2 linked regions of the Caenorhabditis elegans genome follow. The protein of the gene in region 1 interacts with the protein of each later gene in a pairwise test. Each region holds a gene or a part of one and is shown on either strand. Other genes may lie near its edges. The genes, in order: rpa-1 and brc-2.

Region 1 (5,143 bases):
TGACTCATCAAAATGCGATTATTGATCGATGAATTGAACTTGTCAGCTGTTTTGTCGACCACGCGGCCGAAATTCAGATATTTCGGCCATTTCAGCTTCGATAGTTGTACAAAATGTCACGAGAATTTTTTTCGGCTTTCATCCGCGTTTGAGAAAATGATTATTGAAAGCGGTTTACAGTTTACAACTATTTATTCGATATATCAACATATTTGTGTCGGGTGATTATTTACAATTCGTGGGTTTTAGTGAGTACTGGAATCATGAAATGAGATGCGATCAAATGTTATCCATGTTAAAAGCCTTGAAATCGCCGTTGCGAATGCGGTTGAGACGAGTTGGGTTAATTGCAAAACGGCATCTTTTATCGATTTTCTTACTGATGACATCCCTGAAATGTTTAGTTACATAGCATATTTAATAATGATCGCACTAACTAACCTCAATGCTGGTGACAATTGATCAACCATTACAGAAACGGCATCGAATGGTTGCATAAGCATGTCCAGACTAAGCCATCCACTCAAGGCACACTTGCTGTTGAGTCGCTTGGTGACACATGGGAGAGTACATTGCAGAGAGTTACAAAGTTCTCCAAGATGATCAGCAACAATAAATACATTACCTCCAACTGTAGCAGCGAATTTAATGTTAGAATCTTGAGCGAAAGCAGTTAGGTTTGAACGAGCATAGCATTCTTTGTCGCAGCCTGAAAACGATTTTTTGATGGTGGGCAATTTTTCAGAAAAAAAATTACCTGACATGATATCATCAACGACAGGGTTGAGACACGACTCCATTCGCTCAAACAGAACGTGCTTTGTGGCACACATATATTCAACACTGCTGCTGGCTTTTGCGAAGAGCTTGTTGTGATCACAGTACTGTTCTTTCTTCAGACAAGTGATAGCCTGTGCATGATGACCACAGACTTTGCGAGCTTGATGTACAACATTCTTCATGTTCCACAGAGACGTCGTAGAATTGATGAACGGGTCGATGCACTTTCGCATGCAATATGGAACTCCAAGAGCGCGGAAAATTGTGTCGACGTCGAGGGCTGAAGTGAAACTTTAATCTTAAGCACACAATAATCTAGTTTTTTACCTTGTTCTTCGTGTGGCACGACATCTTTGTCGTCGTGTACCGATTCGATGGCACCATTTACACACGAGAAGAACAGAAAGATGGCGGGAAGGAAGAAGGCGAGATGGAGATGGCGCATCTGGAATTATGTAGAAGTTTTTTTTCCGAAATGGGGGTTAGATATTAAGCAGTTTGAAAGTGGTCTAAAAGCTTTCGAAAACTTTTATAAGCTTTCAAGAAGGTCATATAAGGAAAAGAACAGCTAGGTAGAAATGAAGTGGGTAACTGATATAGCCGAAACTTTACATAATTTATAAAATGAAAATTTATCAAAACTGACAAATGAAAATAAAACAAAATCCGAATTCTTTATGCGACTTTTCTGATTTCAAAATTTAGCGCGTCAATAGAAAAGTTAGATCGGCGGGAAAAAACAATTTCCAAACTACGGTTTTGATGGAGGTCTCGAAGCGAATACCGTACCCGGCAAGATTTACGCAGGTGGTCCGAGCCATTCATTTTTTTCTTTTTCAAATGTGAATTGCTTTGTTGAGAACCTGCAGAAAATCTTCATGTTTGGACGAAGTATTGACTTTTAGAATGTTTTTGTTCAGTATTTTAACCCTCTTCCAATATTGCGCTGCCATAATTTCGATTCATGCGATTTTGGCCGATGTAAAACCTTCATCAAAATTTCAACAATTATTATTGTAATCTTTAAAACTTCTCAATTCCTTTTTTTAATATTTATTTGTTTTCTCATATTTTAATTCAAGTTGTGCTCGATTTTCTTTGACTAACAGAAATTCCCGCTTTTCGGCACACATTTCCCGCAAACATCACATTCTACGCCATTTTTTTTGGCGCGTATCCGGCCTGTAGAGAATTCAAAATTGAATCGTCTCCCCTTCATTTGTTTCTTCATGTTTCAAGCTTTTTTCCCCAATTTTTATGTATCTGTTTCAGATAGTGAAAGATGGCGGCAATTCACATCAATCACGATGTCTTCAATAAGTATCATACTAACGGGAAACTTCGACTTACAACAGGCTATGTTCAGGTAAAGAAATCAATGTAGAAAACCAGGAAATTTAATTTTGATGAATTTTCAGGAGGCTATCGAAAACAATGGATATCCTGGACATGATGGAATCGTTCAAGTTTTGGTACTTTTGACTAATTCAAAAGTTTCGCAATAATTCGATAATTTTCAGAAAGGCAAAGTAGAGCAAGGAGAGCAACTTGGTCACGCATTCACTTTCAGAATTCGTATCTCAGACGGTGTTTTCCAATACAGTAAGTGAGTTTGTTATACTCTGATATTTATTTATGCTTTGAAGATGCGCTCATGTCCGCTGATATCGATGACCAAATCAAACGTGAAGTTGAGCATCTTGTTGAGGGAACAATTATCGCTCTTACTAAATTTGAAATCTACGACCAAGGGTGAGATTATAACATTATTGAGTCCTTCAATGTATTTTTCAGAGAAGGTGCTAAGAATTGCTTCCTGATCAAAGGATACAAAATTCTTTCTCGCTATCATCAGGTTTTGACCTCTCCAGAAGTCAAGCCAAGATCTCATTCTGGCAAACCTGATGAGCACAAAGGCTATAGACCAAATATTATCATCGAAGATGTTTGGCCTGAAGCTGAAGGAATGGCTGCTGATTACCAGGAGAATATGGCAAATCCACCAGCAGCAAAAGCGCCGAAAAGAGAATTCGGAGAAGGTAAAATCTAAGAGTTGTAATGTGTGTAATTCGAGTTTTCAGAAGCCTCATACAATCGTGCCGCTGCTCCAGAGGCTACACGCGCTCGAGCTGTTCCACCACCAGCACGCCGTACCGCGTCGAACACAGAAAGAGGCGTGATGCCTATTGCAATGGTTACACCGTACGTATCGAATTTCAAAATTCACGGAATGGTATCACGCAAGGAGGAAATTCGTACTTTCCCAGCGAAAAACACGAAAGTGTTCAACTTTGAAATAACCGATTCAAACGGAGATACAATCAGATGTACCGCATTCAACGAGGTTGCTGAGTCCTTGTACACCACAATCACCGAGAATCTTGTTAGTATTATTTTAATCGGATTATGCATAATAATTAATTTAATATTTTCAGTCTTATTATTTGTCTGGTGGATCAGTCAAACAAGCAAATAAGAAGTTCAACAATACTGGACACGACTACGAGATCACACTTCGCAGCGATTCTATCGTTAGTAAATTTAAAGCGATTCATCATAGCTAAAATATTAAATTTTCAGATTGAAGCTGGAGGTGAATTGCTTGCTGCTCCAAAGCTCATACTCAAACGAGTGAAGCTAGGTGAAATCGCTGGATATGCTGGACAACTGATTGACGTTCTCGTCGTGGTTGAAAAGATGGATCCAGAGGCTACCGAATTCACTTCAAAGGCTGGAAAATCTCTGATCAAGCGAGAAATGGAGTTGATTGACGAGTCTGGAGCACTTGTTCGATTGACACTTTGGGGAGACGAAGCAACAAAAGCACTTGTTGATGACTATGTTCAAAAAGTAATCGCATTCAAAGGTGTTATTCCAAGAGAGTTTAATGGAGGATTCTCTTTGGGAACTGGGTCAGCAACTCGTATTATTTCGGTGCCAGAAATCGCTGGAGTGTCTGAACTCTATGATTGGTACGCAAACGTGAAACCAACCACTGAAGTTAAGATGATGAGCCAAGCTGCTGGAGGATCCAATGAAGCTCCACGTACTATTGCAGGACTCCAAGAAATGCAATTTGGAAAGGATTCCGACAAGGGAGATTACGCAACTGTCAAAGCAATGATTACCAGAGTAAATCCTACGAATGCTCTTTATAGAGGATGCGCTTCAGAGGGTTGCCAAAAGAAACTTGTGGGAGAAAATGGTGACTACAGATGCGAAAAGTGCAATAAGAACATGAACAAGTTCAAGTGGCTGTACATGATGCAGTTTGAACTTTCGGACGAAACCGGACAGGTCTATGTCACAGCTTTCGGAGATAGTGCTGCGAAGATTGTTGGAAAATCAGCTGCGGAGCTTGGAGAATTGCACGATGAAAGCCCAGATGAGTACAACGCTATTTTCGAACGCCTTCAGTTTGTTCCAAAGATGTGGAGACTTCGTTGCAAGATGGATTCGTACAATGTAGCTTTATTTCTTGAAGATCCGTTATGATTGTTTTCTTTATAGGAAGAAGTTCGTCAGAAGATGACTGTCTATGGTGTGGATGATGTCAATCAGGACAAGTACATCGAAAATCTGAAGCAAATGATCGAGCAGATGCAACAAATGAGTGACTACTAAATGTTCTGTTTTTTATTACATCGTGCCGATCTCGACTGTTTCATTTAAATCTAAAAAAACCTAAATATTATTAAAACCTTTTTTGAGCCTAAAGTTATCACATGTCTCACATCCACAATCGCTGATTTTGTACAATGTTTTTCATCTCATTTACTAGCGAATAAACTATACGATGTGAGCCTATCTTTGAGTGCCAGGTGACCTCGAGATGTGTTCTGAAGTGACAGCATTGGGTCGTTGCAGCGTCCTTGAGAGCGGGTGACTGCCCGACAACAAATGGCCTTGGGTTGCCACATTTATCCTACGTCTCTCTGCCCACGACCACATTTTCCATTGCTAACCCGCAGGTTCGTGGGCAGCCAGCGAGCTCTTTGAGCTCTCTTCGTCTATTTCTCTCTAACGCTGTCTTTTTTTTTGTCTTATTTTCCATGAAAGACATTGGCGGATTAGTGGAAAAGACTAGTGACTTTCATTTACAGAAACGTCTTTTATCACCTGTTTTGATTTTCCAAAAAAATAAATTCCGTAATGATTTTATTATGTTTCCAAACAGTTGCAATTTGAACACTCCTTTCAAATTGTTCGTCCAAACTAAGCCGTGCTGAAAGAAAATTTCCGTCTTATATTTTGAGTGTAGCTTTTCTGTTGCAGTTGTTAAGATTTGTCGATGCAATTTAGGGTTATGCAGCTGACCTTATGGAGTGTCTGGGAGAGCACACACAAATGCGTTCCCAACAGA
Region 2 (5,144 bases), on another chromosome or scaffold:
AAGACTACTGTATCGTCAAGCTTTCATTTCTGCGGAATCGTCACAACGATTTGAAATTACAGTACTCCTTTAAAGGCGCACACACCTGTCGCATTCAACCAAAATTGTCGTGTCGAGGCCGGTTACCGTATTTTGAAGCAAAAATCACAGCTTTAATACATAATCAATAAACTATAATATATTCCAGGATCTCAATTTGAATCCGAATGCCTTCGACGTGGACTTCGATGCAAAAATCGCCGTGGCTCGGGCTCATTGACATTGTATAATGTGCAGGAGGAAAATACAAAACGCGAATTTACAATTGCTCTGGCAGCTCTTGAAGACAAAGAATTGGCTGAAAAACTGAAAATCTCCGAACAAAATTGCAATAATAACAATCTTCTGACTGTTCCACCTTCCTTCCAACTTTAATCAATTCATAGAATTTATTTTCCAATTGATCCCCCCTTATCTCTCGATTTCCCAAACATTTTGGGTTTTAGAAATTGTCTTTATAAGACCACAACTTCAAAATGACGTGTGCCTACTTGTATTTGTACTTGTATATTTTCTTGTTTCGGGTTTCTATTTTTCTAAATTTTCGAATTTCTGATGAAGATTTCATCGTTTCATAATAATTCTTTAACATGGAAACAACAGAAGGGGAACATATAAAATTAGAACGGGGATATTCTTTGAGAATAAATTAAAGCATTTGAACCATCTACGTTAAAACGAATAAACACAACAAAAAAATGATAAAATAAATGAAACATGATTAAATGAATATTCACATGAATGGAATATTATGGATGCTTCTTTTTCGAACGGCGTTTCTTCTTGTCTTCCTGAAAAATTATGGAATTTTATTAAATTTTAGCTGATATAATTTTGAGACTTAATTAAAATTGTAAAATTAGCACACTTATCACTCTAACGTGACCGATAATCATAATGAAACACTACAAAATTCTTAGATTTCTCAAATTTCAAGTCAAAGTTTTTTTTTGTAAATTGCAACCTTTTCAAAAATGTGAAATTTTTGGGTGATTTAGGGATTTTTGGCGAATTTTTTTGATTTATCAGATTCGAGAAAAAAATTTAACGCAATTGAGATATAAGAAAATGAAGAAAATGTCTGAAATTCTGGCCGACTTCTAAAATTATGATATGTGAAACAAAAAATGTTCTCTGTAATTTTTCGGTATCAATAAATTATACTTTATGTTTCAAGTAAGAGCCAAAATCTTTCCAGTCGACTTCTGCCACGTCAGTGCATTCCCATTCATCATTCGATTTTTCGATTTCAACCATAACAGGGCGGAACACATAGTTTTGTCTGAAAAAATGCAACGGAATTTAAAAAATTATAAATTGAAAGTTAAAACGCCGCAAAAATCTCACCGTTCCTGGGGGTCTTTGAATCGGAACCAATTGTCAAATCCTTCATATCCTAACAAATCGAGTAATTTCTTCATATTTTTTGTAGTCACATTGATAAACATTTGACCGGAGAAGTCCATAACTCGCACCTGAAGTTTTTTTGTAACGATACTTCCCAAAAACTAAAATTCAAAAAATTATCTAAATTCAGCTAAAATCTCAAACTTTGTCAACTTGACAATGTCACAACTCGCAGAAGTGAGTTCCGACCGCCGCACCACTGACAAGTCGGAAAAATTTGAGATTTTAGCTGAAAATAGGCTATTTATCCAAAACATTAAAAATGTTCTATATTAGGAAATAGGCAATATAAATATAAAGAACATACTCTAGAATACATCGACAATTCAGATTTTCCTTGGGAATCCTTACAAAACTCGCATTGATTCGCTGCTTCTGGGAGAGAGTGTTTGCATTTCGAACATCTGAAACCAATATTATTATATTAATTATCAAGGAATCAGTATGTACCCTGCATAAAAATCCAAATTTAAATCGAGTAAGTTAACTTGGACAACTGTTTTTTTGATTTTCGTGTCTGACAATTCGTGGATAACTGAAATAATAATTTTTTTAGGTGAAAACTCGAAATGGCTCACATCTGGGTTTGATGCAAAACGGCTTCTTGGCAATTGAATGGCGTCGGATACCGGATTTCGCACCATTTTCCTTATTTTTCAGAACTCTATCAATATAGATTTCTGTAACATCGCCTGAGCTTGCTGAAAGTTTACGAAAAATTAAATCAATAGCTACAATCGATTGAGCATTACATTTTTTACAGACTTCCGCGTCGACATGAATTCTGTCGCCAAATTTAATATCAGAGCCACGATTGTAGCTACAAGTGGCCAGGATTAGAGGAGTTGAGCTGGATTCTTGAAGAATAATTCGGAATTTATCCTTTTCGTAGATTCGAGAAACACGCAAAACATCGGCGTGGATTTCTGAAAAAAGACTCCGGATTACGAGAATTACGGAATAAAGAACAGTTTTCAAAAAGGAGAGCCAATTCTAGAGCTTAACTAACCTTTAAACTCCTTCTTCTTTTCTTTTTTCGAATGTTTTTTACTTTTTTTAGAAGAACTGCTGGTTGATTTTTTTGCTGGTGGAGCTTCGAAATCTTCGAAACCGCCGCTAGCCGGCCGTTTTGTAGTTGTTGAGCTCGTTCTGAAAAGAAAAACTTCGAGCTAGATAGCACCTTTGAAACTTACCCTTCTCTTCGAAACGGTGAAACGAAAGCGCTCGACCCATTGTTTTTGCGCACGAGAGGGGAAGAAAATCCGCCTTTAGACGAGGATTTGCTCTTGAGATCACTCTGAATTTGAAATTTTTTATATTAGAAGAATAAATGTGTTGTCGAAGTTAATTTCAGAATATGTTCCATTATTTCCTTTTAATTCCAAAGCTTACATTCAACATCTTCTTTGATTTATCAATCGATTCCTGCTTCACATCAATTCGGATACCAGCCGCTGTTGAAAAAACCGGTTCCATTGATATCGGTACGCCTTTCGGCTCATCAAAGCTGTCTGGTTCAGATATTGTGTCGAAACTGTCTTTTCTGAAAACAAAGAATTGCAATTCATGTATGTTTCTCAATTTTCTTGCTATAACAATAAAATAAATCTTGACTAACACTTTTTTAGATGAGTCACCCATCGGTCGATGTCACAATATTCTGGTAAAGTCTGAAAATTTCATTTTGAGTTCAGAAATTTGAGATTTCAATTGAAAAAAAGGGAAAAAATTAAATTTTTGTTTTTCAAATAAACTGAGAATTTTACTGTCCGGTGGAGCGTAATTGCATTATTTCCTTTTTGAGAAAAAAATTGCGACACTAATTTATTTATTTCCGCCTTTTCTTCTAATTTCGTAATGCAAAATCAATTATCTCACAAATTATAACACGAACCGTTTCTGCCGTTTAAAACTGTGGAAATAATTATATTTATGTGCGGTTTTCATTCATAAAACGAGGGGAAACCCCCAATTGACCTTTCCTCTCTGAATAAAAAAGCAAAGCAAATATTAAATCCGTGTATTTTTTGCGTCATTCTTTTCTATCTCTTACTCTTTTTGCCCCCGCAGTAATAAAGATCTAGAGAAATAGAGAAGAAAAGGAGAAAGTGAGGAAAAAAAATACATGCTCGCAGAGTTCGAAGCTTTGGTCTAACTAGTTGAGATTTCTTCCCAGCTTGATGTTTTTCCGGGTCGCTTTTTCCTTTCATCTCTTAAATTTTCATTTTCCATTTCTTGGGTATTTTCTTTTGATAATCAAATTAAAGAAAAAGCACTCGATTTTAGGTGCAATCATTCAAAAAATTCTTTTGATAAAATAATCACCTTATCACCATTTTAATGTCATTCCCGCCATGAAAACCTGATTTTACAGTCTAAACCTTTCCTATTTTCTCATGATGACGCTCTGATTTTTTTTAATTTCTCGACATAAATTTAATTTCAGCCAAACTTCAAAATGGCTCCATTGCCACGTGTGAAATGTTATTTCGATGTGGTCTGTCCCAATTCATGGATCACTATTCAGGTACATTTGTAATCTAGAAAAACTTGTTTTGATACAATTTAAACTGAAAGATTTTGTTTTTCCGGGTTTTCATTTCCATTGCCCTTCAGAATCATGTGCTTCACGTGAAATAGAAATGGGTCGCATGTGAAAAATAGATAGATCTCAGCCCTTTTTGAATGTTTTATTATTCCCGAAAATAAAAAAAGATGGAAAGAAAATCAAATATAATTTTCAGGCTCTTACATCACACAATTCTCTATTCGAGCGTATAGATTTTGAGCCAGTTTGTGATTTTAAAATTGGAATTCTTCATAATGCTCAAATCTGGAACCAACGTCGACAAGTACACAATTCGAGACTTTGGAAAACGAAAATAGGTAAGTAGTTTGAAAATATATAGAAATCCAAATAATCGCGGGAAAGTTATTTCAGAAGTTCCAGAGCAAGCAGAAAGCGAAGAAACACTCTCAGAAATGGGAATTCTACAAAAAATCGACGAGCGTGGCAAGAAACTTATTGGTTGTGAGCGTGTCGTGCCACCTGTAGATTGGAAAAACGTTAGATTGATTTCGAATATTTATTCTCAAACAAATATTTTTAGACCTACAAAACAGCGGTAGCACGTGGATCGGTCATCCCTCAGCTGTTCCTCACTTCAATCCGTGAACAATACCCAGACCTCTATGAAAAAGCAATTCATCACTTGGGAAAACGGCTCTGGGAGCAGCGACTTCCAGTTCACTACGGGTGTCACATGTCTACAGTATGCCGTGAACTTGGAATCTCATTCAAAATCGCAGAAGACATTGTGGCTCGTCTCTCATCTCCAGAAAATCGATCGATACTACACAAAAATTGCAAAGAAGCCGTGGATTTCAAAGTAAATTTTAATTTTCTAGAAATAAAATCAAGAATTTCCTTTTTCAGCTTACTGAAGCACCCGGATTAATCTTGTTAACTGATGAAGGAGACACTATAAAAGTTGATAAAATCAATGATATTTTTGATGATAATATCATGATTTCCAAGCTCTCAAGTGTATCATCAAGCCAACCAGTCGAGCAAAAAATGTCTGCAAATCGACTTTAAATTTAGTTTTTTTGTTTCCAATTCTTCCTTCCTCACCCACCTTTTTCTTCATATTTACCCACTTTTATTGCACTTTACTCGCATCAGTTTAGTCTTTTTT

What was found.
Region 2: the proteins of rpa-1 (region 1) and brc-2 interact in a two-hybrid assay, tested with the Caenorhabditis elegans proteins (one study listed by BioGRID).

What each region holds. Positions count from the first base shown.
Region 1 is NC_003280.10:7,662,530-7,667,672, forward strand, and holds rpa-1 (putative replication factor A 73 kDa subunit), read left to right. Parts: upstream 1-2,052; 5' UTR 2,053-2,062; coding exon 2,063-2,146; intron 2,147-2,198; coding exon 2,199-2,252; intron 2,253-2,300; coding exon 2,301-2,382; intron 2,383-2,426; coding exon 2,427-2,532; intron 2,533-2,574; coding exon 2,575-2,819; intron 2,820-2,861; coding exon 2,862-3,163; intron 3,164-3,215; coding exon 3,216-3,311; intron 3,312-3,360; coding exon 3,361-4,245; intron 4,246-4,290; coding exon 4,291-4,404; 3' UTR 4,405-4,581; downstream 4,582-5,143. Other genes in the region: F18A1.7 (Chondroitin proteoglycan 4 domain-containing protein), read right to left, coding at 280-391, 442-709, 758-1,060, 1,108-1,225. UniProt on the Caenorhabditis elegans protein: As part of the heterotrimeric replication protein A complex (RPA/RP-A), binds and stabilizes single-stranded DNA intermediates, that form during DNA replication or upon DNA stress.
Region 2 is NC_003281.10:6,899,991-6,905,134, forward strand, and holds brc-2 (DNA repair protein brc-2), read right to left. Parts: upstream 3,117-5,144; 5' UTR 3,088-3,116; coding exon 3,065-3,087; intron 2,990-3,064; coding exon 2,839-2,989; intron 2,744-2,838; coding exon 2,640-2,743; intron 2,596-2,639; coding exon 2,456-2,595; intron 2,373-2,455; coding exon 2,199-2,372; intron 2,148-2,198; coding exon 2,025-2,147; intron 1,982-2,024; coding exon 1,897-1,981; intron 1,851-1,896; coding exon 1,754-1,850; intron 1,515-1,753; coding exon 1,387-1,514; intron 1,322-1,386; coding exon 1,204-1,321; intron 831-1,203; coding exon 789-830; 3' UTR 578-788; downstream 1-577. Other genes in the region: T07E3.4 (F-box domain-containing protein), read left to right, coding at 188-414; T07E3.3 (DSBA-like thioredoxin domain-containing protein), read left to right, coding at 3,905-3,973, 4,191-4,332, 4,388-4,512, 4,557-4,835, 4,883-5,044. UniProt on the Caenorhabditis elegans protein: Required for the homologous recombination repair of DNA double strand breaks, thereby playing a role in chromosome integrity. Acts by targeting rad-51 to sites of DNA damage and stabilizing rad-51-DNA filaments by blocking ATP hydrolysis catalyzed by rad-51.